2 linked regions of the Danio rerio genome follow. The protein of the gene in region 1 purifies or fractionates together with the protein of each later gene. This does not show direct contact. Links are inferred from orthologs where the notes say so. Each region holds a gene or a part of one and is shown in the gene's direction. Other genes may lie near its edges.

Region 1 (4,113 bases):
TAACGTGATGCGCACACCATGTGTACGTCACTCCCATGTGCACCTCCTTTGGAAATGACAAACTGACTCTAAGCTTATTGGCATTGCTTCCAAGGTGCGCGCTCGGCAGACACATTTTAATAAAACTATAGCGCTTCATACCGAAACTACATACCAAACTTTTTTTGTTACTGATATCGACAATGGTGTTCAGTTAATAAATACAGTTAAATCTTTCTCCTAACCATCTCAGGTCACGTATTTTTTATTTATATTTTTTTCATACAAGTTAAAGAAATCATAACTACTGCGCTTCTACCACCTCAGTTTCCCAGAACTTCTGGAGCTTGTTTAGTCATAAAAGCCTGTGATCTCGATTTTTATCGCCCAGCCCTATGCTTCACCCCTGAGCCTGACATCATTATTAGACAATTCAACACCCAAGTAGACCCATATTCCTATGCTTTGCTCAGTCCAGGGTGCAGAGCCCTTGAATGGGGACTTAAATGTTACCATGACAAAGCAAAGCAGCAACCACAGAAATGTTTTATTGTTTATTTTCCGAGCGATTAAATTGAAGTTTTATAATTATGTTTTCAAAATATGCTGTCAATTTCAATCTCTTCCAGTACTAAACACAATTCTTACCTATGAAGTACTAAGAGAAAGTGTTGGTGGTATTTCACAAATGTAATTGAGTATTTAAGGAATTTAATTGAGTGTACTAGAGGTTATAGGAGGAATGTGTTTTCTGCAGTCTGTTTATATATCAATAATAATACAATTGGTTACAGTGAAGTAAGCATTAGTCTTTAATCAAGAACATGATCTTTCAACTGTTAGTTCTGCAGCTTTATCGTACGTTTTTGTTTTTTAATTTTTAAAAGTTAAAACTTTTCTGTGTGTAAATGTAACTTCTTATGAACTTGTTTTACATGAATCCACTACATTTCAGAATATACTAACCTCTGTTTAAACTTGTGAACATTTCAGTGCTGTGCAGCAACTTTGATTTAACCTGAGCACATTTGCATGCATTCTCAAATATGTATGTTCTTCAGGAACAGCAACCGATTACATCTTTTCTGTCTATTTTTTGTTATACACTTAAACCTGTGTAATTTAGAATCTGAACGGTCTGTAATTAGTCTCTCATTGTGTCACTCAGGTGCCCACATACTGCTGCTGAGGAGAGAGCACCACGATGAGGAGACAGTAGGCACCCACCATAGTATGGCCGCGTCCCGCTCTTCGCGCGTCACAAGATCATCAGTGGGGATAAATGGATTGGATGAGAACTTTTGTGGCCGAACCCTCAGGAACCGCAGCATCGCCCAGCCGGAAGAGAGCTCTCCGCCTCCCGTGCCCAGAGCTCGCTCACCCAAAAAGAAGCAGGACTGTCAGCAGCACCAGCAGACCGGAGCACAGGTTGGAAAGGTAACTGAGAGCAAAGCGGAGGGCGAACCCGTGCCTGCATGTGGAAAACGTGGCTTGCCGAGCTCCGAGAAGGAAGATTCGGACAAATTTGATAACTGTGAGCGTCAAAGGTCTGGGTGTGGGCCTGAAGCCTCACCTGCCCTGAAGAGGGCCAAACGCTGTCCTCGCTCAGGTGAATCACAGGGGGCAGAGGAAGAGCCTTCTCTCAAACCCGAGAGCCCCGATCCTGCTGTATTGAAGGAAAATGACGATGGCGCCAAATCAAATAATACTTCAGCCTCAGACAAAGAGGCTGATCAGAAAAAGGATGGCCCAACAGAAGAGATCGCCCCTCAACCAGAGGTCAGCGAGAACGTCAAAGCAACCAATGGCCTCGCTGAACTCTATAGAGAGGACTCAGAAGTTGCGGCCTTACCTGTGGAGCCCTGTGCCTCCCCTGCCACACTCAACAGCAGTCCCTCACTGTTAAATGGCAGCCAGGCTGCGCCCTCATCCCCCGACCCTATTGTGCCTTGTAGATCCCCTCATCCCAAGCAAACCAATGAGCCCGACAGCCCTAAAATTGACTGTGAGAGGAACTGCACACCTGAGGAAGCCGCTGAGGCTGTGCTGTCTCAGGAACCCGAGATGGAGGTAGAGGTCGATGTTGTGGGAGAGGCTGGCCAGGCTCAGGATGAATTCGTGAGAGAGGAGAGCACCAATGGTGACTTTCAGGCTGAACCACAGGACCCTTCTGACAACTGCTCGAATATCTCAGGAGAAACGCTGTTGGCTGCTTCTCAGCTGCCCGCCGAGCCCCCCTCCTTCACAGAGCCTCAAGAACACCGCTACACCCTGAGGACTTCACCGCGCCGCGCTGCCTTTGGTAGCGGGCTCAAAGCCAGCTCCCCCAAACCCACTTCCCCACACATAGACAATGGTTCACTGAAGGAAGAGACCACAATGGTTCCTTTTTTCTCAGAGGACACCAGCCATAAAGACCCTTCCCATGATGCACTGGGACTTTCTTGCGAGGCAGACAGTGAACTTTTCGAGGAAGAGGTTGTCAGCGGAGAGGTCGGAGTGTCTGATAGTAGAGAGTCAAGATCCACCAAAGAGCTGCTGGCTGCTCAGGCTGAGGAAGATGAGGAGGAGGAAGAGGACCCAGATGTCTACTATTTTGAGTCGGATCACTTGGCTCTCAAACACAACAAAGAGTATGTTTAGGTTTACGTTCTTTCATTTGAATCTTTTTCATAATTGCGGTGATTCAAGATTATTGATTAGAAATTTGCTTTTGGCTACCCCAAACCCAGCATTTAAACCCAACAACCCAACTTTGAATACAACGGACATGAATCATGTAGCTTTATGAGAAGTCTTAAGTCGACTGTCAGCCAGAAATACTGTAGGTTAAGAAGTATGTTTTGGTTGACTTTTATGTCTGTCACCAGTTTGAACCTGTTAAAAAAAATCTACAAATTAAAAATCTTTGATCCATATTCAGATTTTCAGATCAGCTACATTTCTATTAAAATTATTGGACTTTGTTGGTGATCTGAAAATCTGACTGCAACTGTAGTTTGGACAGACCAGAGCAATGTTTAAAAACCTATAGTATCGTTCATCTGTTGCTTTAAGGAACCTCATAATGGCGCGTTTTCACTAAGCCGGACGGTACGGTACGGGTCTGTACGAGTCACCTTTATCAGGGTTGCGTTTCCATTGCCAAAAGGGTACCAATGGTACTCTTTTGGTGGGCATGGTATTCAACAGAAAGTTTCAGTCAACGTCCTTCTAGCTTGAGGAAATGTCAAAGTAAAGCTGTGCAATCAGTGCAAACCTCTCATCTGTATCTTTAATCTTCACCTGCGGTTAAAAAAGCTATTCATAAGTTTATAATAGTTCAAAAGGCGACAATAGTAGTTAAACATTGTCGTTTGTTCATGGTTTAGGTTGCTGAAAGAATCATTTGCTCATTTGTTTTTTTGTTTTTCTGGCTTCTTTTTTGTTTTTTCGCACTATACTCTCGCGTTGGTCTGTTTCTGAAAGGATTGGATGTCTGAAGCACTTTATTAATCATGCGCACGTTATTATAATCAGCTCAAAAAGTTTGTTATTTCAAATATAGAAGCATGACGAACGCACACAAGACAGCAAAACTGCTCGCCCTTTAAATAACTACTGGCCACAGGGTAGATTCTGCTCTTTTTGGCTTTGTGGCTGTTCATCAAGACAACGACAAGGTTGTTTGAGCTCAGGTCAACCATGGTTCGTTATTATATGTATATATTATTATGGTCTAGTGCAGGGGTCACCAATCTTTGTTCTGGAGGGCCAGTGTCCCTGCAGGGTTTAGCTCCAACTTGCCCTAATCCACCTGCCTGAGTGTTTTAAGTATACCTAGTATTGTACATATGTATTTGATTAGGGTTGGAGCTAAAATCTGCAGTACACAGACCCTTCAGGAACAAGTTTGGTGACCCCTGGTGTAATGTCTCAGCTGTGTATTTAAAAAAGGTGATTCCTTTGTTTTTATTCTCCTGCTTTTGCGTGTAACGTATCTCTGTAAACCAGTAGCGTTTAGTTGCACGTCTTGCTCCGCCCTTTGGTACCCTTTTGTTGTGCTAGGTACCCTTTGCAAAGGGTACCCAAAAGTGGTACGGTTTGCTTTTTAGGTACCTTTTGACAGTGGAAACGGCCTTAAAAGCGCACTGA
Region 2 (4,129 bases), on another chromosome or scaffold:
GTTGAAAACAACTAGCCACTGGCTAACGGCTTCTCCTGTGATTCACTGATTGAGCGCAGACCCTATTGAAATATAGCCACGAAATGCGAAATATTACACTAAAAGATGTTGTTAAACCAAAAATGCAGACGATTACTTACTCAAAGGCTTCAGGAAAGGAGTTACCGTGTGGCAATCCCAGTGGCTCGTCGCTTGTTTGGAGGCTGGGCAGGAGCACAGAGATGAGGTACGCGAAGTGCTGTGCGCATGCGCATTGGCGCGCTCAACCATCTGCTGTTCAGCATTAAACCACAAGTTCTCAATCTTGTAGATGCCCCGTGATCGTGCTCATGGAGGGAACCCTATTCTAAACCTAATTTATATAGATTTATATAAGTATATTTAATATTGAGAAAAACATCATGGGTGCTTTTAAACAATTAGTAAATATATAAAACCCCAGCGTTACTTAGCAATACAGTTCGTATAATTCCATATTTTGGAAAGAGCGTGTTTTCATATAATTCACATATAATTTGTAAGCAGCATACACATAATAAAGGAAAAAGAAGGAGACAAACTTTGAAAATAATCAAACAATAACCACATTCGTCTTTATCCTGTAATATAATATAATGATATACACAAAAAGTACAAAAGCTGTCACTTGTGCGGTACCTTCTCAAAAGAACAATTTATGAACTAAATAAGTACACCTTTAAGTTATACTTTTATACGTAAATAAAATGTCTTTTTCTGGTATTGTATGCTCATTTTAATTATATAATAATAACATTTGTAATTATCAAAATGACTTAAAAATAATTATTAAATTATTGTTAGAAAAACATCAAAGAGTGAAAATGTAATAACTGATGCTGCCACATGGTGACCGGTGTTTAGTCGATACATCTCGCCTTTGAAAAAATGTCCCTCTTGATCCGCCGTAATGTTTTGCGCGCAAAAATTTGATTTTAAATTTTTTTTGGGGTTTTTATTTTTTTTTTTGTTTTTTTTTTTTTTTTTTTTGTGATTTTTATGGTTGGGCTTTGTTTAACTATAAAACATGGTTTAGTTAACTCCGGATCCACACTCCAATCCAGATGGTGGCGGTAATGCACCAAAAGCTGGTTGCCAACCGCCATAAAACACACAAGAAGAAGAAGAAGAATGTTTTGCGCGTGCGCAGTGGTTGTCACTGCCACATTACCGCCTGAGCCTGCGGTAGAGAGGCGCTCATCCACCATCGTATTTAGCTCGATCACTAGCTCATTACATGATCAAAACAGCCTCTCTTGCGATTTATAATTACATTTCTATTCAAACCAGGCAGTGGACTCATCCAAAAAGCAGAAAGCAGCTCTTATTGTCCGCTTAACAGCCGCCGGTGAGTGATTTTACTTGCTGCTTTTGTTGTCTGAATGTATGGAGAAAGACAGTGAGGCATGTGTGCCGAGAAAAGACATCCATTAATCTGTGCTTCAACTATTTTACGAGGGAAGGGACGGGGGTTTTACCTGATCGATTGCAGTAAAACCACGAGTTTGTAAACGATAATGTGTAAATGTGGGTGTATTTCAAGGGTTGCAGGTGGTCCATGGTTGCTCTGAGGCCCTGCGCCTCTCAGATAGCCTAGCAGCTAACGTTAACAGTATTGCTGTTTTCATAGATCTATCGCTGACACAGACAAGAGCTTTGGAAAATGTACCTGCATTTTAGTGTTAGTGTTTATCCAGGTTATTTTTTTTTTTACTTGTTTCAGTTCCAAACAAACATGTCATCGACCAAACAATATAATATTGAACTCTTGTTCTAGTTTTCATTTTTGTAGTTTGCCTTTTTTTCTCTATTGATCGTATATTAATAGTAGATCAACTAAACCTTTTAGTTTATACTAATCTATTACACATATATGTTTGCATACCCCTGATGCTCTATATGCAATGTTGCCGTTTCTAGCAGCAATTTCTCAATAATCATGTACAGCTGTGATCTTAAAGTGATAGTTCTAATGCAAAAGATCAACAATTTAATATAGGAAATTAAATTAGGGTCAAATCCAAATTTCTCAAACGTTAAAGTGATATTTCACACAAAAGTAAGAAATTTTCTCGTTCTTTTATCATCCTCCACTCATTCCAAGCCTGCTTTACTTTCTTCCTTCTGATGAACACAAAAATAAGACATGTAGAAAAGCAGTGTCCATTGACTTCCATAGTAATTTTTTTTTCAACTGATGAAGACAGTGGTCGCTTTTTTCCTCTGCATTCTTTAAAATATTTGTTGAATAGAAGAAAGAAATTTAGAGCCTCTGGGTGGTTGTGGGAATGAGTTTTGTTTTAGGTTGACCTATCCCTTTAATATCACACACAATTTTAGGAAACCATTATACTTGGAGCACTGGGACAAAATGATCCATGTATGATCACAAAAGGATGTGACACGTACAAGTGTGCTAAAGAAGCCAACATGTGCTTTTCAGTTTTACCTGTAGGTCGGTATAAAATGTTTTTAAAACTATAACGGGATTCTTAAGGGATTTCATAAATGTTGATTGTAACACCTAATTCCTGCATTTATTGTGTCATTCAAATTAGAAGTCTTAAATTAAAATTCATCTGTTTTGTGAGAACTGCATCACTTGCTTTATTTTAGAATAGACGTCTGCTAAATAAATGCATGTAAAACCACTTAAACACTCATTAGTACTTCTCCTTTTGCCATTCAGATTGACGTTGAACTTGCCTCTGTAAACCCATTCTCTCCAACTTGGTCGCCATGGCAACTGAGGAGAAGAAACCAGACACAGAGGCTACTAAAACACAGCCGGCATCAGCTGCCTCTGCCAGCCAGAGTAAGGTAAAGAAAAAAAACACTGCTGGAAACGCCCGTCTGTGACCAGTTTTTTCCTTCCTTATGGGTGTTTTTTACATTGTGCTTCGGATATACTGTGGTAAAAATGGTATAGCAGCTTTTTTTATGGATCTAAATTTTATATGATCTGTGATAATGTCATTGTTTATGTGTATTCTGCTCTATCTCAGTCAGCACCTGTCAAGCCAAACTACACCTTGAAGTTCACATTGGCTGGGCATACAAAAGCAGTTTCTTCAGTTAAATTCAGTCCAAGTGGGGAGTGGCTCGCCAGCTCGTGTAAGTACTTGTATTAATACAGCACTTGCATTAATATGAAATAATTAGAGCATATAGAATTAACAAAGGCATCAATTTTTTATTTATTTTTTTGATAAACATAGTTCTCTCAAAAGCTATTTCTGGATGGAAAAAAAGAAGTGCGTGTGTGTGTGTGTATATATATATGTATGTATATGTGTGTGTGTGTGTGTGTGTGTGTGTGTGTGTGTGTGTGTGTGTGTGTGTATATATATATATATATATATATATATATAATGTTACATTATTATACATATATATATATATACACATACATACATTCAAATGCTTTCATGGATATAATGAAACGCTTGCTTATCCACTCACTGGCTACTTTATTATGTACACCTGGTTAACTGCTCGTTAATGCAAATTTTTAATCAGTCGGTCACATGACAGCAACTCTATGTATTTAGGCATGTAGATATGGTCAAGACGATCTGTTGCAGTTCAAACCGAGCATCCAAATGGGGAAGGTGATTTAAGTGACTTTGAACGTGGCATGGTTGTTGGTGCCAGACAGGCTGATCTGAGTATATCAGAAACTGCTGATCTACTGGGATTTTCATGCACAACCATCTCTAGGATTTACAGAGAATGGCCAATAAAAGAAATAATCCAGTGAGCTGGTGTTCTGTTGGTGCAAATGCCTTGTTGATGCCAAAGGTCAGAGGAGAATGGCCAGACTGGTTTGATTTGAAAAAAAGGCAGCAGTAACTAAAATGACCACTCGTTACAACCGAGGTATGCAGAAGAGCATCTCTGAATGCATAAGATGTTCAATCTTGAGGCGAATGGGCTACAGCAGCAGGAGACCTCACCATGTACCACTCCTTAGAGCTGAAGATATCTGCCTGAACCCAACGAGAAATCAAATAGTTTGTTACAACATTAAAATCCATCCCTGCAATGGTGAAACAAAAGATGACTGAGACGTCAAAAAGAGATTTTGACTGCGATCAGGCCAGCTGCCAGT

What was found. The genes of interacting proteins can lie anywhere in the genome.
Region 2: the proteins of zzz3 (region 1) and wdr5 purify together in Homo sapiens (affinity purification with mass spectrometry; 5 studies listed by BioGRID and IntAct, counting the BioPlex papers as one, with this or other methods). This does not show direct contact. The link is inferred for Danio rerio from reciprocal best matches to the Homo sapiens genes ZZZ3 and WDR5.

What each region holds. Positions count from the first base shown.
Region 1 is NC_133177.1:9,148,127-9,152,239, forward strand, and holds the start of zzz3 (ZZ-type zinc finger-containing protein 3), read left to right. Parts: upstream 1-1,212; coding exon 1,213-2,612; intron 2,613-4,113.
Region 2 is NC_133196.1:19,680,440-19,684,568, forward strand, and holds the start of wdr5 (WD repeat-containing protein 5), read left to right. Parts: upstream 1-1,203; 5' UTR 1,204-1,366; intron 1,367-2,707; 5' UTR 2,708-2,757; coding exon 2,758-2,838; intron 2,839-3,023; coding exon 3,024-3,132; intron 3,133-4,129.